7 linked regions of the Oryctolagus cuniculus genome follow. The protein of the gene in region 3 interacts with the protein of the main gene of each other region in a pairwise test. Links are inferred from orthologs where the notes say so. Each region holds a gene or a part of one and is shown on either strand. Other genes may lie near its edges.

Region 1 (3,500 bases), on a different chromosome or scaffold from region 3:
TCAGGAAACTTGGGCAAGAAATATGAAAAAAATATATGTAAATGATATTAAATAATTTTGAAAAATCAGTTCCATAATTTGCAAATATAGAATTTGGGCCAGAAACATGGTAATATGTATAATGATCCTGAATGATTTGGAAAAGTCACTTCCCATAATTTACAAATATAGAAGTACCAATACTATTTCAAAGTCATTAAAAGAAAAAAACATAAGTCATAATCATTATTAAATATGAAGTCAACGAAATTTACATTTTGGTAAATTTTGCATCTTGCTTGTATTTCTTCAGTGAGGATGTAAATATACATCAGTACCAAAGGCAAGCAAAATGCACCCTGCTCTATAACCTCAGAAACTTGCAAACGACCCATGCTGCTCTGGCCTCTGAGGCTACGTACCAATGGTGCACTTGGTGGAACGCCTGCTGACCATGTTGCGGGAGTTACTTTTGGCTGCCAGTTAGCTCCCCCAGTCAACTTTTTCTCTCCAGCATTCCACTGAAGATCTCCCCTAAAGTATGCAAAACAAACAAGTGAACAAAAAACACAAATCAAAAAAAAAATTTTTATTTGATTTAGAAGTAGCTTGTTTTCACTCATAAAAAATTCCAAATAAGAGTATCATAATGTACACCTGTTTCTTGTTGAATTTAAGATGCATTGAAGATGGCACTTGTTGGACTGTAAAGGTTCAACAGCAGGCTACAACAACTATTTCATGACAACAATCTGCTGTAAGACACCATCTATGGTAAGTTCCATCCCAATTTCAGTGACAAAATACATCTAAAAAAGGGCAGGTATTTTATCAGTCTTACTATCCTTCTTTAAAACTTATACTCTATGAGAGACTTTAGAATAAATGTTAGCTAGGAATATTACAACGAATTGAGATTTTAAAGCTATTAAAATATGAAAATCAAAATTCCTAAGTATTTCCAGATATAACTTAATGATTTTTTTTTTTTTTTTGACAGGCAGAGTGGACAGTGAGAGAGAGAGAGACAGAGAGAAAGGTCTTCCTTTGCCGTTGGTTCACCCTCCAATGGCCGCCGCGGCCGGCACACCGCGCTGATCCGATGGCAGGAGCCAGGAGCCAGGTGCTTTTCCTGGTCTCCCATGGGGTGCAGGGCCCAAGCACCTGGGCCATCCTCCACTGCACTCCCTGGCCACAGCAGAGGGCTGGCCTGGAAGAGGGGCAACTGGGACAGAATCCGGCGCCCTGACCGGGACTAGAACCCGGTGTGCCGGCACCGCTAGGTGGAGGATTAGCCTAGTGAGCCGCGGCGCCGGCCTAATGATAATCTTAAATACTGAAATAAACTATTACTTTTCAAAGGTTCTAGCAGAAAGATGATAATAATTAAATCCAAAATGAAATAAAAAAAAAAACCCTTTTAAGTCATCTACTTTAAGAATCAATAATATATTCCAAGGATACAAAATCTGATAATCTCAAATTATCAAAAGAAAATGAAATAATTTCAAAACTTACTTTTTTGATGTCGTACCAGAAATTCCAAGATCTAAAAATGGATCAAGGAAAAAAAAATCAGTTTATATAAGATTTGACATTTAAAAGTTCCAAATGTCAGTGGTCTTGAAAAAGTAAACATTTGACCTAGGAATGACTGCATTCAGTTATACAAAAAAGAATCTATATTAGGAAACATATCCATACTCTTTGAGACTTCCTTTTGCTTCATGTTAGACATAGGGTCACAGACAAGAGTCAACAGCAGATTTGAGACTGCTAAGAAAGACCTGTGAGGCTGGTGTCTGGGCTGGTTTCTAGATCTCCATGTCCTCACCAACAGTAGCCATTGTCTGTCTTTTCTATTACAGCTGCCTATTGGGTATAAAGTGGTAACTTTTTTTTTTTTTTTTGCTTCTGATTTACATTACACTGATGACTAGTGTTGACTATATCTTCATGTACAAACTGGCCATATGCATATATTCTTTGGAGAAATGTCTACTCAAATTTTTTGTTCATTTTGTAATCACATTATTTGTCTTTTCATTATTCAGTTGTAAAAGTTGTTTACTGCAGGTAAAGTGTCTTATCAGATGAATGATTTGCAAATATTTTCTCCCAGTCTGGGTTGTCCCTTCACATTCTCGATGGCATCTGTAGCACCAAAGTTTTGCATTTTTATGTAGCCTGTTTACCTACTTTTGTTGCTTGTGCTTTATTAACATTTTGTTCTTTTACTTTGAGAGGTAGAGTGACAGAGAGAGATTGAGAAGAAGAGGACATACAGAACTCCCATCTACTGGTTCACACCCCAAATATCTGCACCAACCAGGGCTGGGTCAGGCTGGGAACCAGGAATTCAATCCAGGTCTCCCATATGTGTAGCAGAAACTCAATTACTTGAGCCATCACTGCTGCCCCTCATGGTTTGAATTAGCAGGAAACTGGAATCAGGAGGAGGATCTGGGTATTGAAACCAGGTGTAGGCATTCTAACCAGCACTTTAACTGCCAGGTCAAATACCTTTTTTTTGCTTGTGCTTTTGATGTCTTATATAAGAAACCAAACATTACCAAGTCTAAGGTCAAGAAGATTTGCTTCTGTGTTTTCTTCTCTGAGTTTTATACTTTCGACTTTTATATTTAGTTCTTTTTTAAAAAGATATATTTATTTCTTTGAAAGAGTTACAGAGGTCAAGACAGAGAAAGAGAGATCTTCCATCTGCTTGTTCACTCCCTAGCCAGGCCAAAACCAGGAGCCTGGAACTCCATTCATGTTTCCCACATTGGCGGCAGATGCCCAAGCACTTGGGCCATCTTCTGCTGCTTTCCCAGGTGCATTAGCAGGGTGCTGGATGGGAAGGAGAGCAGCTGGGACTCAAACTTGTGTTCATATGGGATGTTGGTGTCACAGGCAGCAGTTTAATACGCTGCACCACAATGCTGGCCCCTCAAGCATTTAGTTTTTTTAATCCATTTTGAATTATTTTGGGGGGTTGTATGTAAAAGGTTCAACTTTGTTATTTTGCATGTGGACATGTAATTTTCCCAGCGCTATTTGTTGAAAAGACAACTATTTTCCCCTTCAATTGTTCTGAGTGACCACAGATGTATAGGTTTATTTCTAGGCTCTTCACATCCCATTGATCTCTATGTCCATCCCTATGCAGCATCACTTGTTTCATCACTGTAGCTTTCTAGTAAGCTTTGGAAAGTATGAAGTATGGGGCCATCAGAGTTATTCTCTATTCAGGGTGTTTCGAGCATTTCGATTTTCTGATACTTCCATATGAATTTTAGGTACAACTTGTTAATTTTTGCAAAAGTACGCTGGAATACTGAAAAGGAGCATGTAGGCAATTTTATTCAGTTTTAGAATATTGCATTTTAATTACAAAATTAACATACAGTGAAATTCAGTGGGTTCTTTGGAGAATGGGTAAGTTTCTATGAATTTTGACAAACAGATTCATATAATCTTCACTATAATCAAAATGATATCAGTTTCATAACCTAAAATAT
Region 2 (3,500 bases), on a different chromosome or scaffold from region 3:
TTTACTGAGAGTTGTAGCCATAAGCCAACCCCAGTGGGGTCACTGCAAGGAGACAATGATGGGGTTCCAGGTACTGCTGGTGCAAGTTTAGACAAGCTTAGAACTCTTCTACAGCTTGGATGTAATCACCAGGGTCCACTTCAACTTCTCCAAGTTTAGGATGTTCCTGTGTATCCTAAAGTTCAGCTTATGTTTTTTGCCTTTTAAAATGATCTTTGCTAAATCCTGCATATTCCAAGCAAATTCTAGGTTCCCAGTCTCCTTTTCATTTTCTTAAAGAGATTTGTCAATAGCTGAATCTTTGGGTGTTTCTTCAGTCTTGTGATTTTATTTATCTGCTTTTGAACCTTCAGTTTCCTCACCCCCTTTCATCTATTCTCTGTCTGCTGTCTCTTTGTTAGCAGCTGTCGTTAACTGTCTTCAGTGATTTCTTGGTTTCAGCCCCATCACCAGCAGTCTCATATTCTCATGTGTAGCTTAGCCTGCTGGCTAGGAACTAGTTCTGCCCTGACCTCTAGTTCTGAGCCACCTTTTGTTTCTCTCAATCCTGCAAAAGTCTGTGGATCAGCAGAAGCTCTGCAGCTGCAAGTTCATACCATCATTAGAGACAGCTGTGGTCTCCTGCCCAGGCTCCTAAGATTCTTCTGGTCTCACCCTGCATCTGGGCCTCTGTAGCCTTTGTTGTCCTGACGGGTGGCTTTTCTAGAAGAGGCACTTCCTGCCCTACTAAGATGTTCATTGAGAACAGCCTTTTCTGTTTCATTTTCAGAGGTGGTTACCTGCTCCTTTGCTTCTACATCCACTGCAGTGTCCTGCTTTTCTGAATTCAACAGGCTGCTCTTCTGCAGCGTCTTTTGACTTCTGTCTGCTTACAATTGCCTCTCTGCTTCTGCTGTCCTCTTTTTATCTCTGCACTCTTCTTGGTCCAGAAACTGAATTTTCTTCCTCAGTATCTAGTGCTTCCTGTTCTGGCTTCCCCAAAGTGACCTCAGCTTTGTTCAGCCCTTCTGGTGCTGCAGTTCCTTTTGCCCCTTTGGAGGTTTCAGTTATCTGAAACATTGTCTTGTAGCTTCTCTGTAGGCTCACTTAAGTCCTTATCTTCTATTCTACCATTCTCCATTTCACTTCTCGGGCTTTGATGGAGACTTGCCGCCTTTTTGTGTGTGTTCTTGGCATCAGAAACCCATTTTCTCAACTCTTCCCTTGCTTCCTCAGGTATATTTTCATTTTGTACCAGAGATTCATCTTCTGTTTGTCTCATTTTTCCTCTTCCATGTGTACTTCCAAGGCGTTTTCCCAACATACCATTCTCTGTTCTGATAATTCCAAAAGTGATTTTCCATAGAAAAAGAAGACTTCTCCACACTTGTTAGCTGTCCTCCCTATACACTGTTTCTTAAAAGGTTAGTTACTTCCTGGAATCACCAGATGCTTCTGTCTTAAACCCAATAGTTTCTTGGCTTTACTGTCCACATCAACACTCCCCACCTTATCTGCAGTGGTAGAAAAAACAAGAGCATCTTCAGTTTTGCAGCAGAAGCCAACTCCGTAGTGATGGGGGCAATGGCTGTGGACTGTTTCCATCATTCCCTCAAGGAGGTGGACCACTGAGTAGACCAGAGTCTGTGAGGGAAGCAGAGGCTTACTGGGATAGAAAATGGCAAATTCTGGATTTATGAATCCCAGAAACTTAGTGTACCAAAAAACTTGATTTTAGAAGAGTGAAGGCCAGAAATGTTTCTTGGAAATAAGAGCTATGGTAATCATCTGCATTTAAAAATGCATATATTTGCTTAGTTCCATTTTATTTGAAAGGCAGAAAGAGATCTTCATCTGCCGATTCCCTCCCTAAATGCTCTGCATACTGGGGGTAGGCCAGGCATAACCATGAGTCCAGAACTCAATCCAGGTTTCCCATGTGGGTGGCAAGAAACCAACTACATGAGTTGTCATCTTCTGGCTCCTATAGTGCACTTTAGCAGGAAGCAGGATTTGGAAGTGGTGCCAGAACTCAAACCCAGGCATTCCAGTATGGGATGAAGGCATCCCAAGTGATTTGTCTTAACCTCTGCTCCAAGTGTTTGCTTCCTAATATATGCATATTTACCTATTTAACTTTTACTTTGTACTAGGGCCGTTATTTTGGTTGCTTAGGGAGGCAGAGGCTATAATATATTTCATGTAAATTCCAATTAGAAATATTAAAAGTCTTAAAACATTAATACAATGATCATTTCAGATTTTATCCATGATAGAAGAAGCAGCTGGAACCAGGATGTATGAATACAAAAAAATAGCTGCCCAGAAAACTATAGAAAAAAAGGAGGCTAAGCTGAAAGAAATTAAGACGGTAATTAAATTCATATAAAACATTTTTGGAAAAGAGTGTAACTTTGCATTTGGGTTTTCTGCTTGTAAAGAGGGCTATTATTTATTTATTTATTTATTCATTGGTTTTACAGCATCTTCAGTATTTTTAAAAATATTTTGATGATACTTTACATACTGAATATAGGGATTTTCTTTATTTTCTAGATACTTGAAGAAGAGATTACTCCAACCATTCAAAAATTAAAAGAGGTATATACTGCATATGTGAAGACAACCATTTAGAATGTCTCAAAAGTGGTGATGTATCTAAAATCAGTTACAGGGATGAAGTGTGTGTAACATTTCTTGGGGATCTGTCCCTGTGATTATATAAAGATTTAAAGTTAGTGCTTCATAATTCAACCTTTGTTTACAGAGGCTATGTACTTCATATCTACTAAGTCATAGTGATTTTGGACAACCATCTAGATCTCAGAAACTTATATGCTGTATGTTAATACTTTATTGAAGAGAAGGAAGTTTGGATTTTACTGGATAATTAGAATGAACTGGAACAACATTTTTTAAAAATGTAGCACTTAGTAACCCTCAGTGGTAATGAACATTAATAAGGTGGGATAATAGGATAATGTCTAGGATAATCTATAATTATTGATATGAAGACATTTTGTAAGTGGAAGGTACTGAAACCAAGGATTGGGTTTTCTCTGTAATCTGTAAAGCTCCAAACATTATAAAACTTGTGAAATCCGGAGTGCATTTATAGAGTATTAATTTGTAATATGTCCATTTAAGAACTCCTTAAATGTTCATAAAATGTTGGTACTTTTCAGAGCTGTTTTCTTTCTATATATATTTAAGGTGTTTTCCTTGTATGCATGATTTAGTAGAAAACATTGGATTTTGAGTTTAAATTTAGATTTCAGAGCTGACTTTGACACATTATTTCTAAATAAGACGATGTGGATGGGTCATTTAACCATATAGAAGTTGTTTCTTCATCTGCAAATAGAGAATTCAGTTGTTACTTTATTCCAGCAGGTTTTTAGGGGAATCAAGTTCAATAATGTGTGAGCAAGTACATGAGGTAATCCTTGAAAGAATGTTAGTAGGCACTTTGGGTAATACTACTACAAAATGCATTTGGTAACATACCACTGGAGGATGTG
Region 3 (3,999 bases):
GGGGACGGGTCACTGCTCGGACGTCAGCACGTGGCGTGGGGAGGGGACGGGTCACTGCTCGGCCCTGGTCAGCACGTGGCGTGTGGGGGGACGGGTCACTGCTCGGCCCTGGTCAGCACGTGGCGGTGGGGGGACGGGTCGCTGCTCGGCCCTGGTCAGCACGTGGCGTGCGGGGGGACGGGTCACTGCTCGGCCCTGGTCAGCACGTGGCGTGCGGGGGGACGGGTCACTGCTCGGCTCTGGACAGCACGTGGCGTGCGGGGGGACGGGTCACTGCTCGGCCCTGGTCAGCACGTGGCGTGCGGGGGGACGGGTCACTGCTCGGACGTCAGCACGTGGTATGCGGGGGGACGGGTCGCTGCTCGGCCGTCAGGAGTCCTTTACTCTGAGACCTGCTCCAGGACACGCACCAGGACAGCCCCACGCTAACGCCAGCCTCCTCGGGAATGAAGCTACAGCCCAATCTGCACCAAGTTGGCTACGGATTAACCCAGTCTCCAGTGCACACCAAGTCCCGAGAGCCACGGCCGCGGTCCTCGGCACAGGCGGGATGCCCGGAGCACCTGCGTGCCCGTTCCTGGCACAGCCTCACCGGGCCCCGCCCTTGGAACCCTGAGCAGGGACTGTGGGCAGCGAGGATTCCTGCAGACGCTGAAACGCGAACGCGAGGACGCGAGCAGGCCCCTTGGACACCGGCTCCCCGCGCTCGGCCGACCCTGTTGTCCCAGCGTGCCCGCCGTCTGCCAGACCAACAAGGCGGCAGAGTGCATCTCAGCACTGGGCTGGGACACGCAGGCCAGCAGGCGACTGGGAGCAGGCAACCCACCCCACTCAGCCCGTCCTGGCCTCCATAACCCGCCCCACACAGCCCGTCCTGGCCTCCATAACCCGCCCCACACAGCCCGTCCTGGCCTCCATAACCCACAAAACACAGCCCGTCCTGGCCCCCGTGACCCACCCCACACAACCCGTCCTGGCCCCCATGACCCACCCCACACAGCCCGTCCTGGCCTCCGTGACCCACCCCACACAGCCCGTCCTGGCCTCCGTGACCCACCCCACACAGCCTGTCCTGGCCTCCATAACCCACAACACACAGCCCGTCCTGGCCCCCGGGACCCACAACACACAGCCCGTCCTGGCCTCCATAACCCGCCCCACACAGCCTCCTGGCCTCCGGAGTCGGGTCCCTCTTCCCGCCGCGGGCAGCGCCCTCTTCCCAACCCGGCGGTCACCAGCCACCTCCCCCCGCAGCTCTGCACTTCAGGGAGCAGCAGGACGAACAGCAGACCAGAGTGGAGGGCTCAGTGCCCCCACCCAGGCCTCCGGGCAGGGAACAGCACCTGCCACCTCCCCAGGGAAGGCGGCGCAGCACCCTGCCTCCATGCCATGGGGCTCCCCCACAGCCGGCCCCTTCCCCAGACACCGTCCAGGCCAGGCCCTGGGGACGCAGGCGGGCTCCCGGCTGGTGACACGCGCTGGCACACTTACAAGCTAAGGTAAAGTCTGTGCAGGTCGGGCGGCCGAGCTGTTGAGTGAGCTGAGGGCCCCCAATGGTCACACCGCCCCAGAGTCCACCTGCTTCCTAGCCCCAGAGCACTCCAGTTCCCAAGGGCCCTCGGTGCGCCATGGAAACAGCACCCCCACCCCGGCCCCACCCCCGCGCTGCCACACACCTGACGGTTGCCAGGAGCCATCCCAGACTCCCTGAGCAGGGAGCCTGCGCCGGGGACTTCTGGGCGCTCAACTCACCGCGGCCGGACCGAGCCCGCACCCACACCCACACCCACACCAGCCTCACTCGAAGGCGGCCGGCGGAGCAGCGCTAACCGCCACCCGCAGGGCTCCGCCCCTGGCGGCTGCAGCGTGGGGATCCTAACACCCTGACTCCGGTCTCCACGGGCCCCGGGGCAGGGCGCGGTCCCAGCCACAGCCCGGCCCGCACCGGGGAGGGCGCGGTCACGGCCCCGGCCCGGCCCCAGCCCGGGCCCGCACCGGGGAAGGCGCAGTCACGGCCCCAGCCCGGCCCCGCACCGGGGAAGGCGCGGTCACAGCCCGGCCCCGCACCGGGGAAGGCGCGGTCACAGCCCCAGCCCCAGCCCCGCACCGGGGAAGGCGCGGTCACGGCTCGCCCCGCACCGGGGAAGGCGCGGTCACGGCCCCAGCCCGGCCCGCACCGGGGAAGGCGCGGTCACAGCCCCAGCCCGGCCCGCACCGGGGAAGGCGCGGTCACAGCCCGGCCCCGCACCGGGGACGGCGCGGTCACGGCTCGCCCCGCACCGGGGAAGGCGCGGTCCCAGCTCGCCCCGCACCGGGGAAGGCGCGGTCACGGCTCGCCCCGCACCGGGGAAGGCGCGGTCACGGCTCGCCCCGCACCGGGGAAGGCGCGGTCCCAGCTCGCCCCGCACCGGGGACGGCGCGGTCCCACTCGCCCCGCACAGGGCGCCCAGGGGCCGCAGTCCCGGCAGGGGCCGCCGCGGCTCGCCCACGCCCCGCCTCCCGGCCCCGACGCAGGCCCGGGTCTCGGCCCCCCCGGCCACCGGGCCCCGGCGGCGCCCACCTCCGTGATGATGTCGTGCAGGTAGCGGAACGGGGGCTTGTTGAGCAGCTTCTCCGTCAGCGGCGGCCTCCGGATCACCTTCCCCAGCGCCTCCTGCGTCCGCCGCACCACCGCGGCGTTCATGGCGCCGCCCGCCGCGCGTCCGGCCGCCCGCGCCCCTCAGGCGGCCCGGCCGAGCCTCAGCCCGGCTCCCTGGCCCCGCCGGCCCCGCCGCCCGGTGCCGCCGCGACGCGCAGCGCGGGTCCCCATCCCACAGTGCACCGGGCCCGCCACGGCGCCTGCGCGGAGGCCGCGGCGCGCCCGGTCGCTAGGGCGGCGCGGCCTTGGCAACGAACGCCCGCGCGCGGGACGCCGGGAAGCGGGGTCTGTCCAGCGGCCGGCGGCGGGGCCGCGTCCGCGGTGACCGTCCGAGGAAGGCGCTCCACACCGGGCCTCTCAGCTCCCGAGCGCTTTCGCCGGCTCTGGCTCGTGGGCGGAGCCAGGACGCGGTTATCCCGAAAGCCGCGCGGCGGGCAGTGCCCTGTCCTGCGCGGTCCTTGGCCGGTTTTCCCTCAGACCTCCACCCTGCCGCCGCCGCCACGCATCCCGCGGGGCAGGTGGGCAGCGAACGGGGCCCCGGGCTCGCCCCGCGGCGGCTGCGGGCTCCGGGGTCTGTGTGGAGCCTCTACCTTGGTCTGCCATTCTGCGTGTGCACCTGCACGTCCCCGGGGCGGGCACGGGGCGGGACTGCCCGGTTCCAGTCCGGCTCCCTGCTGATGTCCACCTTGGGCGGCGGCAGGGGACGGCCCGGTGCCCGGGTCCCTGCTGTCCGCGTGGGAGACCCGGATGGAGCCATTGCGGGCGTATGCGGGTGAGCCAGTGAATGGAGAGACCGAATAATGTATCTTTTAAAGTTTCACCTGGTGTCCGTGTGCCAGAAACGGCAGGTGCGCGTGGGCCGGAGGCCCAGGAGAAGCGGGATCGTGCAAGCTGATGGACACAGCCAGGCTGGCCCCGGGAGCTGATGGAGCCTGGGAAATTGGTTGTAAGTCTCCGCGGTGCCGGGGCAGCAAGTGTCCGTGAGGCTCGTGCGGGTTTCCGCTTCCCCGCGCCCTTTCGATGGAAGCATCCTGGCCTGCTGTTGGTGACGTGGGCAGGCAGACAGGAGAAAATCGGCTAGTTGGCGAGCTGGAAGACCACGTCTTCACACCCCTGTGAGCTCACCCCTTCCTGCCCCCACCTGTGCGCCCACTGCCACTCAGGCTACGTGACCACGCGCCTTTGGAAGTGGCTAAAAGGCCCGGAGCTCGCTGGGCCCTTCCTTTGTTGGCCGTTGCCTTCGGGGCGCGTGCCCGTTCCCGGGGCTGGCTCCTGGCCTGCTCTCTGCTTGCTGTGGACACAACTTAGCCTCTAGACGTCTGCTCTCCGAAATGAAGCCCTCACCCTCCTGCACATTTCTC
Region 4 (3,500 bases), on a different chromosome or scaffold from region 3:
TTGCTCCTCTTCCAGTCCAGCTCTCTGCTGTGGCCTGGAAGGGCAATGGAGGATGGCCCAGGTGCTTGGGCCCTGCACCCGCATGGGAGACCAGGAGGAAGCACCTGGCTCCTGGCATTGGATCGGCACAGCACACCGGCTGTGGCAGCCATTTGGGGGGGGTGGACCAGCGGAAAGGAAGACCTTTCTCTGTCTCTCTCTCTCTCACTGTCTAACTCTGCTTGTCAAAAAAAAAAAAAAAAAAAAAAAAGTAGGGCCTCTAGGGACTCCAGACCTAGGAAGGTGAGCACCTCACCCGAGCCTCCCTGCAGTCCAGCCTTTGCAACCCAAATGGCCAGCCCCTGTTAAGAGCCTGCTAACTCAAAGTGGAAGGCAGAGTACACAGCCCCAGGCCTTGGCTCCCAGCCTGTGTCCCTGAGTGCAGGGGAGGAAACAGGACTGCCACTGTCCCCACAGCACCGTCCCCTCTGAGCTGGGCCCGGGACTCTCAGAACAACTAGCAGCGGCTGCTCAGAACCACTCTGCGGCAGCTATGGGAAGAATCAACGCACACGCTGTCCGGTCAGGGAGCTTGAGTCACGTGCACAGTGACACAGGCACCGACTGTGACTTCCTCAGACACCACAAGTCCCGTTGAAACGGAGCCACCCCTCACCTGCTCTCGGATGACCTTCTCCAGCCTCTGAAGCAGAGAACTAGGATCCCCTGGGTCTGTACCACAAAGTCTGGGCTGCAGCTCGACTGCCAGTGCCTCCCGGACGGCCTGCAGGAACGTTCCTCGCCAGTCGAAGCATGGGTCAGGAGATTCCTGTAATATCGAAGCAAGCTCAGAATTTCTGCCAACACATTCTGCAGGTGCTGTGCGGAGTGAACAGGTCTGTCCCCAAAAGGCTGGTGTCAGGACTGTTTCCCCTCAATGTGACAGTTTTGGAGACAATTAGGGTTAAATGAGGTCATGAGGGTGGGACCACTGTGATGGGCTTTGTGTCCTTCTAACAAGAACTATCAGAACCCTCTCTCTCCCCCTGCAGTGACAAGGCCAGGGACTGCGTCCCTTCCACAATCTGACCCTGCTGCACCCTGCGCTAGGATTTCTGGTCCCTGTAACTATGAGATCAGTGTCTGCAGGAAAGACACTGTTGTAGCCACTGAGCAGGACAGCAGAGAAGATTCCTATGCACCAGGACTATCGAAAGACAAGAAGCAGAAGTTGGCACCGTAAACAGAAAAGAGAACAAGGAAGCAGTGAAAGAAGGAGAGGAATGCTGGCAAATTCCTTCCTTCTCCCCCTACTGTGGGATCTGCAAGGCCCTAGGCTGTACACGGCTGCCCAGCTGGAGAGCTGTGGGCAGCGCTATGAGCCTCTGGGGAGCCAGCTGCAGCTCACATCCCACCAGAGCCGGGGGGCATGGATGGCAGCAGGGAGGGCAGCCACTCTTCCACTAGATTCAGTGGGCACCAGCCACATGCCAGCAAGTCCTAGGCACAAGGACACAGTTCTCCGCTTTGTGGCACTTCCATTCCAACAAGCAGTGGCAGATGTGAAGGATGGGCCTAGAGGTCAGCACGCACCTGGCCTGCAGCCCCGGGTACCAGGTGGAGACAGGCAAAGACACTGCAAAGCTCAGGGGTCGAGCCAAGTTCAGGGGTTAGCAGCCTGTCTGGCATGGGGTATGGAGGGAGGAGGAAGCAGGCTATGGGTCACAGGAGGAGCAGGAGGAGGCGCCGTAGGGGTCCCCATGGAGGCTGGCAGGCATCATCCTGTGAGGACAGGCTGAGGCAGTGAGGTTCTCAGCCATGTGATCACCCAGTGGCCTCACCCTCCTCAGCCTGTAAGGAGAGCCCCAAGAGTCCCTGGCCAGCTTGTGCAGACCCCAGTACCTCCATAGCACATCCTGCGGGGAACCTGCCCACAGAGCCAGCGTGGGCCACAGGGAGGCCTGCAGCTTCTTTAGGGCTCTCTCCATCTCTGCACAAGGCCCCTCTACGGACGCAGTCATCTCTGCTAGCGCTTCAATTCAGTGTTACAGGGCCAGTAAGGTGCAGAAGGAACCAAGTCCGTACCTTCTCCCCTGTGTCAGGGGCCACTTCCAGCAGGCCCCGCCCCTCACTTGACAAGTGGTGCAGGGGGCTGTGTGGCTCGCCCCTGCTTAGAGCACTGGGGGGGTCGCGGCTCTCCGACAAGGCCAGGATCTGGTGGCTCTCGTCACACACCATCTGCAGCAAAGCCTGTGGCAGGAAAATCACGTCAGAGAGCAGCAGCAGCTGGCAACCGCCCATACGCACACCATGTCCTTCACATCCCAGAGAGGTGTAGGGTCAAACATTCCATGCAGGGTGGACCCTGGGCCAGTCTAAAGTTCTGATCATGAGGCCTTCAGAGAGACAACGAAGCTGCTCCCAGGGTGTGCTCCCTCGTCCGCACTTCAGGTCAGCACCCAGCCAGCAGCACCCAGCCAGCACCCACTACCAGGTGTGCTGAGCCCTTCCCCAGCCCTCTTCGAGCACTATACGAGGGCCATACAAGGGCCGCTCAGGAGCCTGTGCACTCGGCACAGCCGGCAGCCAGCACACACCCCAAGTCGTGGGAAAAGGTATCTCAGCAGACATGGGGTACAGGGAAAGCCACAGTGAGCCTAACATAGACTCCACGTCACCAGGTCTGGGGTGTCCACGCTACAGTAAGCTGCATCTGTGTTGCCCACACAGGGTTGGGGGAGGAAGGTGGCCCCAGAGCCCCTCACTAGAGCCAAATGTCAGGACTGCAGGGGACAGTGTTGCTGAGGCGGCCTCACCATGTGCATGATACAGACTTTTGCACCAGACACTTGCTGTCTAGAAAACTGACAGGAGCCGGCGCCGCAGCTCACTAGGCTAATACTCCGCCTTGCGGCACCGGCACACCAGGTTCTAGTCCCGGTTGGGGCGCCGGATTCTGTCCCGGTTGCCCCTCTTCCAGGCCAGCTCTCTGCTGTGGCCAGGGAGTGCAGTGGAGGATGGCCCAAGTGCTTGGGCCCTTCACCCACATGGGAGACCAGGAGAAGTACCTGGCTCCTGCCTTCGGATCAGCGCAGTGCACTGGCCGCGGCGGCCATTGGAGGGTGAACCAACGGCAAAAGGAAGACCTTTCTCTCTGTCTCTCTCTCTCACTGTCCACTCTGCCTGTCAAAAAATAAAAAGAAAAAAAAAAAAAAAAAAGAAAACTGACAGGAAGGAAACTAACGAAGTTCAAAAAGAGAGAAATGCAAACTTAAGCAGCACCAAGGCCTGTGACAGAATAATCGAGTTAAATGCAAGCACACCTCACCAGAATTCCAGCATGGGACCAAAAAAGGGTAAACATCTAATTTTTTTATGTTTAAAGATAATCGTCTTTAACAATTTAAACAGCTTCACTTTTAAAATGATTTATTAGACATACAACAATATCAAATCAAGATCTCCGGATCAGGGCTAGGAGGAGCCGGGCAGAAGGCGGCACCAGCAGGGGCCCGAGATGC
Region 5 (2,321 bases), on a different chromosome or scaffold from region 3:
TCAAAATGGGGAGGGTCATGAGATGGATCCATCCTTAGCAGGTGCTGAGCCTCCCCAGTTCCACCCCCAGCTCACCAACCCCATGCGGAGGCAGTGTCCCTCACCTGCTCGTCCAGTCCCAGCTCCGGCGTGGAACATCGGGTGTCTTCGCTGGTTAAGTGTCGCAGTGTGTCCCGAGCCACAGGGGTGAGAGGTGCTGAGTGCAGTTCTGGACTAATGGGGCTCCTAGGGGACTGGCCGTGGGAAAACTCCGACAAAGAGTGGCTACTGCTGACGTCGGGAGAGGCAGGCTGGGGGGTAGAGGGGTTGGCACTGCCCAACTGAGGGGTGGTCCGGCCGTCTGATGACCTGTAAGACCTGGGCACCAAGGAATGCAGATCTGAGTACTGGGTAACAGGGGACTTCTTGTCTGTTTATTTCTGGGGAGTGGGGAGAGGCATGAGAGAAGCCGAAGAAGACACCATAGTATTTTTTTCTAGCAGCCAACCACCTATTCCACTGCTGCATAGAGGGACAGGTACACAGTATGACGTCAAAGAACCGTGTATGTCTGGGGCCGGCGCTGCAGCCCACATGGCTAATCCTCCACCTGCGGCACTGGCATCCCATATGGACGCTGGTTCTGTCCCGGTTGCCCCTCTTTCAGGCCAGCTCTCTGCTGTGGCCCGGGAGGGCAGTGGAGGATGGCCCAAGTGCTTGGGCCCTGCACCTGCATGGGAGACCGGGAGGAAGCACCTGGCTCCTGGCTTCAGATCAGCGTAGCCCCGGCCATAGCAGCCAGTTGAGGGGGGTAAACCAATGGAAAGAAGACCTTTCTCTCTGTCTCTCTCTCACTGTCTAACTCTATCTGTAAAAAAACAAAAACAAAAAACACAACAAAAAACCCACAAAAAACAAACAAACTGTGTATGTCTTAATCCCAAGAGAAAGCATGGCCAAACAATGCTGGGGAGGAGCCCTGCCATGGCATCCAGTGATTCCATGGGAGAAGAGAAACTGGTCCGGACCTTGGAAACTAGTAGTCGTCGTCACAGAAGGCAAAAACAGAGTTCCAAAACATTCTACTTGAGCACCTCAGGGCTTCTGCCATTATTGGCAATAAACGGAGACAAGTAGTTACATAACCACAGTATACTGCCCAGAGGAGGATTAACCTTTGGTAAGGCCTCCTTAAGTCCTCTGATTAGACCACCATCGCCATCACCCCTAACCAACTTCCAAATACCACAGCTGACCACTACACTTTGTCAGAATCAGACAGTGGGTCATTCAGCAAGGATCTAGCATTTGGCTATTTATACCCCACTACAACAAACAACAAGGAACTTCTATCTGAGCCACTGCCCACAGATGAATAGAAGAGCAGACTACAGACAGAGAGACCCCAAACTCCCTGTCCACCCTCCCTCTGCACAGGCTCCAGGTGTCTGTTCCTGGCCCATCACCTGCTGCCGCGCCGCTGGGGCGGTACGCTCGTAGTCCACAGCCACCGTGCTCTCTCCATCTCCTCGCATTTGGCATGCAGGGCGGCAAAGGCTGCGTCGGATAGGTCCTCGATCTGCAACAGAGCAGCTTCGCTGATGCCCTTGTTCCCCCAGGACGCTGAGCTGAGTATGTGTAGACTGACTCTAAAATTACCCCCACCACCTCAGGCTTGTCAGTGAGCACTGCAGGAGCTTGCATTTGAAACCCATAGGTCTGGAGGCACCCAGACGGATATGTGCACATGCGTGTGCGCCCTCTTCTAAAAGAGAAAGGATCACGCCATTACCTCCTCATTCTCTTCATCAGGACTCCCCTTCAGAGACTGAAGATCAACCTCCCGCCAGCTGCAAAATGAAGAAGGGGCAATCATGAGACACATGCAGGCTGCAGCTTGGGGCAGGACCCATTGAGTCCATGCAGGTGTCAAGTGTGTGGGCTCTGAGTCTTTGGGTGATACTGTTCTCTGCTGGGCAGACTCTGTCCACTTACCCCTTACCTCTAAAAGAGGTCCCACATTCAAATGCCCACAAGGGTCCAAAATGGGAAAAGCTGTGTGGGAGTGCAGCTGGGATGCTATGACAAACTCAAGCAAAGGAAAGGTTTAAAGGGGACCAACAAATCTTGCCAGTTGACTGCTACCACACAGGAATGCAGACATAGGTTTATCCAATCCTCTGATTTGTCAACAAATAATAAATTTGCATGTGAAATCCTACTTTGATGCTGACAACAAATTCAGTATTTTAAGATATAATGGATGCATTAACGCATATGTTTTAGACCAGTAATAGTCACTGGACTGTCAGGTTGTGATCTCTGGTTGATGCAGTCACTTA
Region 6 (3,500 bases), on a different chromosome or scaffold from region 3:
CCGCTCTCCCTCAGACCCATGTGGGAAGAAGTCGGCATAGCCGGGGGCTTGGATGCACACACGTCCCTGGTGCAGATGAAATGGGCGGAGGACCAAGCCGCCCCCTGCCCGGGTCTCAGACCAGGTCCTGGGGTGGGGGTGGGGGCTCTTCCACCTTTCACCTCCTTGGGCAGCACTTGACACCCCAGCCCTCCCTGGAGGGAGGGAGCTGAGAGGAGGGCGGGGCCCCGCCAGGACCCCGCCCAGGCCAGCGCCCCGAGCCTGCGGGGTCTCCCAGCGCTGGGCCCAGCTCACCTTCCCAACGCCTCACGGCACTGGACGAGGAGGCACGGACACAGCCGCCCATGGGAGGGCGAAGCTGACCAGGGCGACTCGGCAGCAGCCCAGCCCCCCATGGCTCTGTCTTCTCAGAGGAATGAGACCCCCGCTGGGTGCCACCGTGCCCCCGCCGTCTGGGGGCTTCAGCCCCAGCCAGGCTGCCGGGGAGGCTGTAACCAGGAGAAGCCCCGGGGACGCCCAGTGCGTCTGCAGAGAGCAGCGCGGCTCAGGTCCAGCGTTCCCGGCTGTGCTGAGGTTTCCGCCTTCCTCAGTTTACCTGAAGGAGCATCTGCCTCTGAGGTGTCCAGAGAGACGCCCCAGGCGCTGGCTCGGGGCTGGGGACCCTGCCGGGCGGCAGTGCCTCCATAATGCCCCGGGCAAGACTGGCTCTGGAAGGCTGGACACAGACACCTTCCTGACAGTGAGCCCCAGATCCGCCTCCAGCTGAGTCCCACAGGGAGGGGGTCTTGGGAGGGGGCCTGGCCTGGGTGCTTCCAGGGCAGGCGCTGCTGGGAGCCCTGTCCCCCACCGTAACCCCAGGGAGATCAGCCCGCCACCGGACACAGCAGGGACCCAGGGGTGCAAGCGTGGGAGGGGCCCCGCCTGCCCAAGAGCCCACGCTGCACAGAGGCCAGCCCCTCCCCCAGCCGCCAACAAGGAAACTGGCTGCTGGGGTGACCCCAGCCCCTGCGCGTGTGCAAGGCTGGCACAGAGACCAAACCGAGAGGCCATGACCCGGAAACCCGACCTTGAAGCCACTCACTGAGCGGAATGGAGGCGGGGGAAGAGGGAGGAGGAGCTCAATCTACTGAGATACCTTTCAATCAACTGTCACCTGTATCAACTGTCTGCCACTCTCTACCCATCAGCTCACCAATCACCCACCTCTATCACCTATCCATCCACCCACCGATCACGTCATCTCTGCCAATCTGTCCATCGCCCGTCACCCGCCTAGCACCTAGCAACATCCACCTCTATCATCCACAGACCCACCCACCCATCAATCATCTACGATCAGGCACCTGTCATCCGCCTCTGTCATGTACCCAGGTGTCATCCTACCAGTCCCTTCTCCGTGTCCACCAGGGCCACCCCCCTGCGTGCCCCGCAGCAGGAACTGGACTCTCCCAGCAACCACAGGGCCCAGACGAGGTGCGGCTGACAAGGCCTTGGGGGAGCCGCATAGCCGGGGGCAGCACCCCCTGCCCTACAGGCTGCCTCCCCGGACAGGGGGACGGGGGCACCCACGAGGGCCGCCCTGCTCCAGGGCCCATCCGTGTCTCACAGCCCTCCTGACCCATTCGAGGCAGAGGCAGAAACCGCAGAGCGCACGGTGGGGGGCGCCCACTCAGCCTCGGCTCCACTCCCAAACCAGCGTTTTCGGCCGCCCGAGGCGAGCAAGAGGAGATTCCAGAACCTGGGCTAAACTCACCTGGCGCTCGAAACGGCACGGCCGGGAAGCCTGGCCCAAAGCCTCCTTCTCACCGTGCGTCAGCTTCCACCCTGCTCCCTTGCCGGGACAACACAGAGGCTTCCCGTGTTCCTCCCGGTGTCCCAGGGTGCACACGGGTGCGGCGGGGCGCGGATGGGGCCGGGGGGAGTCAGTGGATATGGGGGACGGAGAAACAAGAAAACCCACCCTGCCAGGGGCTGCCAGGGGCCTGAGGAGCAAAACCGAGCCAAACTCTGGTCCTGGGGCAGGGGGACCCAAGGGTGGCACCCAGCAGAAGGTCACACAGCCAGCGTGTCTCTCGTCACTGGCCTCAGGCCCCCACCAAACCCTTGCACGTCCACAGCCCCCCCCCCCGGCCCCGCCCAGCCCGCATGGTCCAAGTCACCCAGTCCCGGGCAGCAAGGAAACCAGGGAGCAGAGGGAAAGAACACAGTCGGCCACCCTGTGTGACACGGCGAGAGCGTGGGCCCCACTCTCTTCTCCTTGCGGCCAGGGGCTCAGAGGCACCAGAATGGAGACCGCCGCCCCCCGCCCTGTTTAACCACGGCTGGCTGATGCTACTGTCCTCTCCCGGCCAGTTCCTGCCTAACAGCGCGAGGAAGCCCCATGGTGCCTGCTGGCCACGCCCCTGCAGCAGGTGCAGGGCCCGGGCGGGGTCGGGAGGAGAGGGAAGGGAACCAAGTCAGAGCCTCAGACGGAGCTGACCCTCGGCTGGACCCCAAGCTGCCCTAGGCCAGGGACCGCATGGAATGCGCAGCCTCCATGGGAAACATGGCTAGAGAGGAGGTGGGCTCGGGGCGGGGAGGGGGGAGCCCCAGAACGAGCCGGGCTCCGGCGCAACTCACTGAGACCGCTTATCGCAATTAACTGGCAATCAATCTCAAGCAAGGGTCCCGGTGGGGCACCCTGCTTGGGCGGGGCTACCGCTGAGGACCCAGGGAAATGTGCCAGGGGCGCATGAGCACCCCTGGGGCTGGAAGAGGGGCTCCCTCACTGGCGAGGAGGGGCGGATCTTCTGCTGGGACGGGGTGGCGCCCGTCTCCCAGTGTCTGCAGGAACCCGAGGCGTGTCGCCAGCCCCCTGGAACTCGTGTCCCTCACGCACACACGCACGCGCCCACGCACCCACGCACGCACGCACCCACGCACACATGCGCCCACGCACGCACGCACGCGCGCGCCCAGCCCCAGGCAGCGGCTCCGCTCGCCCTGCTTCTGCCAGACGCGCTCCTCCGTGGGGTCTGCGGCTGGAGGCCCTGCCTGGGCTCCTGCTGCGCTAACCCTACAGGAGGCCCTACCAGGAGCCCTGCGGGCGGCTCGCCGAGGCCGGGCAGGCGCCGCCCCTGGCCGCGCTCCCTACGCCTGCACGCGTGCCGCAGGCGGGCAGCGCCGCGCCCCGGGCGCCGGGCCTACCTAGTTTTTGCATGCATGCACGCAGCCTGTCTTCAAGACTGGACACTCTGTTCTGCAGCTCATCGTAGTCAAAGGCGCCAATCTCCTCTTGCAGTTCGTTTAGCACTGACGTCAGATTCTGGACCTCCTCCTTAAACTGCAATACCAATTTGGCATCGGCCTTGTACTCTTCCAACACAGGGATCAAAGGCCTAAGTTCATCCATTTTCGCTTTAATCGCCTGCAAGGTTAAAATAAGCTGGGTTCAGTGCCTAGCATGCAAGAACTGGTAAGGCCTGCCTCGCCGGCTCCTCCCACGGGCGGGGCTGTGCGCC
Region 7 (3,500 bases), on a different chromosome or scaffold from region 3:
AGGAGGAGGGAGGGAGGAAGGGTGGGAAATATCGTTACGGATTTAAAATTGTATATATGAAATACAGATAAATAGAACAGTGATAGCAAATAAAAAGTCAAAAGTATTTTTCTTCAATTGGGAAAGCCTTCTAGATAAGTCACCATAAAAGTGTTAATGCCAGAAATATAGTTTGTTTTTATATGAAGTTATTTATAAGGTAATAATATGTGTGCAGTTTTAAAATACTTTAGTGCCAAAAGATAAGAAATTGTATTTTAAGTTTTAATCTTTCATATGTTATTTTTCCATTTTTCATTGGATTTGGAGCTCTGAGAATTTCCAGGAGCAGTGATTCTTGGAAGAGTTAGCAAATATTCTCATCTGCTCTGGCGGCAGATGGACACATGGGTTTATAGTACATTTGGCTGAGGGCATATTAGTCTGTGGTCATGAAGTTTACACATGTATGGGCACATATTTATATTCCCCCTTTGTCGTCTGGAAAGGAATTAAAGCAGTTTACAAGAACATTTAAACTATGATGGAATAGGAGCATGGAAATTAGCAAAGTGTAACTTAAATGAAGCCAGGAAGACATTTAAATGTCCAATTTTAATACCTTCAAGGATTTCATGCTGAGGTAATTGGCTTTTGGGGGCACTGAGCCTTCAATATTGACCTTAAAAATCAGATATATTCTGGCTGGCGCCGCAGCTCACTAGGCAAATCCTCCGCCTTGCGGCGCCAGCACACTGGGTTCTAGTCCTGCTCGGGGCGCTGGATTTTGTCCCGGTTGCCCCTCTTCCAGGCCAGCTCTCTGCTGTGGCCAGGGAGTGCAGTGGAGGATGGCCCAAGTGCTTGGGCCCTGCACCCCATGGGAGACCAGGAGAAGCACCTGGCTCCTGCCATCGGATCAGCGCAGTACGCCGGCTGCAGCGCGCTGGCCGCAGCGTCCACTGGGGGGTGAACTAAAGGAAAGGAAGACCTTTCTCTCTGTCTCTCTCTCTCACTGTCCACTCTGCCTGTCAAAAAAATTAAAAAGTAAAAAATAAAAAAATTAAAAATCAGATATATTATAATTAGAGAGCACATCTACACACACACACACACACACACACACACACAACTAGCCCCTTCCTAATTCAACAGAGAATTAAAATTTTCTCTTTTATTTTTATGGGTCTATAGAGGTTAATTTAAAATATGGTTTATATAAAAATATAGTATATTTAAAATATTTTAAAATCAGTGTTGTATTGTAGAAATTATTTTCTTATTGATCTACCCTTAACATTGTACAGAATTATTATTTAAAGGAGTGTGCTTCACCAGAGTATTGTGAACTGAAAATATTGCTTTGGCAATATGAACCGTAAGCAAAAGGTATACATAGATATGTGTACTTTTCTTACTAGGAGTTCAGGAAGACGTTTACAGTTATGTGTTAATGCTGAAAGTGCTCTTTAGAACTCCTCTTCTCGAAATAGGAAGCGCGTTGGGTATGCATACTGATCTGTAGTAAGGAGAGTCAGAGCGGCGTTTCAGGACTGATGGGGAAGCAGCCCAGATCATCTGAGAGGATTATCTTGTAGGTTTAGTTTCTAGGGATTTCCTTGATCTTTTCTTTATGTTCACAAGCAGTCTTCTGATTCTGATTTGCTGTTGGCATGTGGGGTTCCTCGGTGTAGTGAAGTATCGCTTATGAATTATATACATTCAATACCTAGTTTCTAAATCTAGAGTTGAAACACCAAACTCTGCGAAGAAGAGGTAATGACAGTTGTATGACTTACCACATCCATTGTTGTTTGTTTTAAAGATTTATTTATTTATTTGAAGGTCAGAGTTACAGAGAGGGCAAGGGAGGGAGGGAGGGAGAGATAGAGAGAGAGAGAGATGTTCCATCTGCTGGTTCACTCCAGAAATGGCCACAATGGCAAAGGCTGGCGCAGATCAAAGCCAGGAGCCAGGAACTCCAGCCAGGTCTCCCACGAGGGTGGCAGGGGCCCAAGTGCTTGGGCCATCTTCTGCTGCTTTCTGTGATGCATTAGCAGGGAGCTGGATTAGAAGCTGGGCAGCCAGGATTCGAACTGGCACCCATATGGGATCTGGCACTGCAGGTGGCAGCTTTATCCGCTATGCCACAGTGCCAGCCCTGCATTCGTTGTTACTTTGGCTCACATATTAACTAATGGAAAAATAGCAGACACAAGGGATTGCTGGAACAAAACCTTCCATGTCATTAGTAATTGTAGCAGAACTTGAGCCACCACACTGGAAGAGCCAAAGGGCCCTGTTTCTGCAGAGTGGAGTGTGGGAGGAGAAAGGTAAAGATGTTGCCTGCTCTGGGGAACTGGGTGCAGATCAAATGAAAGGAGTGATCCCCATGGAGGTGCTGCAGGAGTGCTAAAGATTGATGGGCGTCTGAGATGGTACTATTGATTGTTTTTGGCACAGGAAAAGAGTCATTTAGAATATTTGAGAATTACCCAAGAGAAAGAACAGCAAGAATCTTTGGCCCTGGAAGAGTTAGAGTTGCAGAAAAAAGCAATCCTCACAGAGAGTGAAAATAAACTTCGGGACCTGCAGCAGGAAGCGGAGACTTACAGAACTGTAAGTTTCAGTAGTGTTCAGGCCCAGAGCCGTGAAACTCATCTCTTGCCATGTCCTGGTCATAATCCATTCTCTGCTTGTATCACAGTTGAGTTATACTAACGCCCGCTTTTCTGTTTAAGTTTTCCCCAATTTTTCCATTCTCAGTACAGTCTTTTTTTCGTTTTCTTTTTTTTTTTTTTTTTTAAGATTTGTTTATTTGAAAGGCAGAGAGAGAGAGGGAGTGGCAGGGGTGGGGAAAGATCTTCAAAATGCTGGTTCACTCCTCAAATGGCAGTAACAGCCAGGGTGAGGCCAGGCTGAAGCCAGGAACCAGGGCATCTTCCAGTGTCCCACGTGGGTTCAGGGGCCCAAGTACTTGGGCCATCTTCTGTTTCTTTCCCAGGCGCAGTAGCAGGTAGCAGGATTGGAAGTGGAGCAGCCGGGACTTGAACTGGTGTCCATAAGGGGTGCCGGCATCACAAGCAGTGGCTTCATCCCCTAAACCATGATGGTGGTCCCTGAGTATAGTTTAATGAACATATTTGTAAATATGTCTCATTGTGCACATTTTTAAGGCCCTTTGGCCCTTCCTTTAGCAATATTTGACATGTTTTGCCTGTTTGGAAAACCGACTGCTGTTTAGACTTTTTGGACTTCTTACTCTGATGATTTAGGCAGTGAAACAGTTGCACATCTTGCCCATAGCTCTAAAACTGTGCTTTATTTTCCCATTCCCAGCATTTAGAAAAGGTGGCATGGTGGAGTGAAATGGGTACCTAGGAGGTAAAATTAATTGTACCTTAATTTCCTCACCGTCACATGAAGAAATGGACTGGTAAAGCCCTTAGAACCTTTGTAGCTCTGACGTTCTGTGACTTCACCTTAATTTGCTCTTTTTTCCTTCAGAGTCAAGATTCATATTT

Evidence for each region.
Region 1: the proteins of TRAF3IP1 (region 3) and SNAP91 interact in a two-hybrid assay, tested with the Homo sapiens proteins (2 studies listed by BioGRID and IntAct). The link is inferred for Oryctolagus cuniculus from reciprocal best matches to the Homo sapiens genes TRAF3IP1 and SNAP91.
Region 2: the proteins of TRAF3IP1 (region 3) and SMC2 interact in a two-hybrid assay, tested with the Homo sapiens proteins (2 studies listed by BioGRID and IntAct). The link is inferred for Oryctolagus cuniculus from reciprocal best matches to the Homo sapiens genes TRAF3IP1 and SMC2.
Region 4: the proteins of TRAF3IP1 (region 3) and PCNT interact in a two-hybrid assay, tested with the Homo sapiens proteins (2 studies listed by BioGRID and IntAct). The link is inferred for Oryctolagus cuniculus from reciprocal best matches to the Homo sapiens genes TRAF3IP1 and PCNT.
Region 5: the proteins of TRAF3IP1 (region 3) and KANSL1 interact in a two-hybrid assay, tested with the Homo sapiens proteins (2 studies listed by IntAct). The link is inferred for Oryctolagus cuniculus from reciprocal best matches to the Homo sapiens genes TRAF3IP1 and KANSL1.
Region 6: the proteins of TRAF3IP1 (region 3) and OLFM1 interact in a two-hybrid assay, tested with the Homo sapiens proteins (2 studies listed by BioGRID and IntAct). The link is inferred for Oryctolagus cuniculus from reciprocal best matches to the Homo sapiens genes TRAF3IP1 and OLFM1.
Region 7: the proteins of TRAF3IP1 (region 3) and GOLGA4 interact in a two-hybrid assay, tested with the Homo sapiens proteins (2 studies listed by BioGRID and IntAct). The link is inferred for Oryctolagus cuniculus from reciprocal best matches to the Homo sapiens genes TRAF3IP1 and GOLGA4.

Annotation. Positions count from the first base shown.
Region 1 is NC_091436.1:88,831,198-88,834,697, reverse strand, and holds part of SNAP91 (clathrin coat assembly protein AP180), read right to left. Parts: intron 1,529-3,500; coding exon 1,498-1,528; intron 514-1,497; coding exon 402-513; intron 1-401. UniProt on the Homo sapiens protein: Adaptins are components of the adapter complexes which link clathrin to receptors in coated vesicles. Clathrin-associated protein complexes are believed to interact with the cytoplasmic tails of membrane proteins, leading to their selection and concentration.
Region 2 is NC_091432.1:207,901,379-207,904,878, forward strand, and holds part of SMC2 (structural maintenance of chromosomes protein 2), read left to right. Parts: exon of another isoform or gene 1-557; intron 558-596; exon of another isoform or gene 597-1,694; intron 1,695-2,239; coding exon 2,240-2,350; intron 2,351-2,535; coding exon 2,536-2,580; intron 2,581-3,500. UniProt on the Homo sapiens protein: Central component of the condensin complex, a complex required for conversion of interphase chromatin into mitotic-like condense chromosomes.
Region 3 is NC_091434.1:2,099,007-2,103,005, forward strand, and holds the start of TRAF3IP1 (TRAF3-interacting protein 1), read right to left. Parts: upstream 2,801-3,999; 5' UTR 2,684-2,800; coding exon 2,561-2,683; intron 1-2,560.
Region 4 is NC_091435.1:434,690-438,189, forward strand, and holds part of PCNT (pericentrin), read right to left. Parts: intron 2,230-3,500; coding exon 2,065-2,229; intron 809-2,064; coding exon 656-808; intron 1-655. UniProt on the Homo sapiens protein: Integral component of the filamentous matrix of the centrosome involved in the initial establishment of organized microtubule arrays in both mitosis and meiosis. Plays a role, together with DISC1, in the microtubule network formation.
Region 5 is NC_091448.1:17,221,315-17,223,635, reverse strand, and holds part of KANSL1 (KAT8 regulatory NSL complex subunit 1), read right to left. Parts: intron 1,830-2,321; coding exon 1,772-1,829; intron 1,559-1,771; coding exon 1,446-1,558; intron 358-1,445; coding exon 105-357; intron 1-104. UniProt on the Homo sapiens protein: Non-catalytic component of the NSL histone acetyltransferase complex, a multiprotein complex that mediates histone H4 acetylation at 'Lys-5'- and 'Lys-8' (H4K5ac and H4K8ac) at transcription start sites and promotes transcription initiation.
Region 6 is NC_091432.1:236,275,124-236,278,623, reverse strand, and holds part of OLFM1 (noelin), read right to left. Parts: intron 3,407-3,500; coding exon 3,187-3,406; intron 1-3,186. UniProt on the Homo sapiens protein: Contributes to the regulation of axonal growth in the embryonic and adult central nervous system by inhibiting interactions between RTN4R and LINGO1. Inhibits RTN4R-mediated axon growth cone collapse.
Region 7 is NC_091435.1:173,679,261-173,682,760, forward strand, and holds part of GOLGA4 (golgin subfamily A member 4), read left to right. Parts: intron 1-2,439; coding exon 2,440-2,595; intron 2,596-3,500. UniProt on the Homo sapiens protein: Involved in vesicular trafficking at the Golgi apparatus level. May play a role in delivery of transport vesicles containing GPI-linked proteins from the trans-Golgi network through its interaction with MACF1. Involved in endosome-to-Golgi trafficking.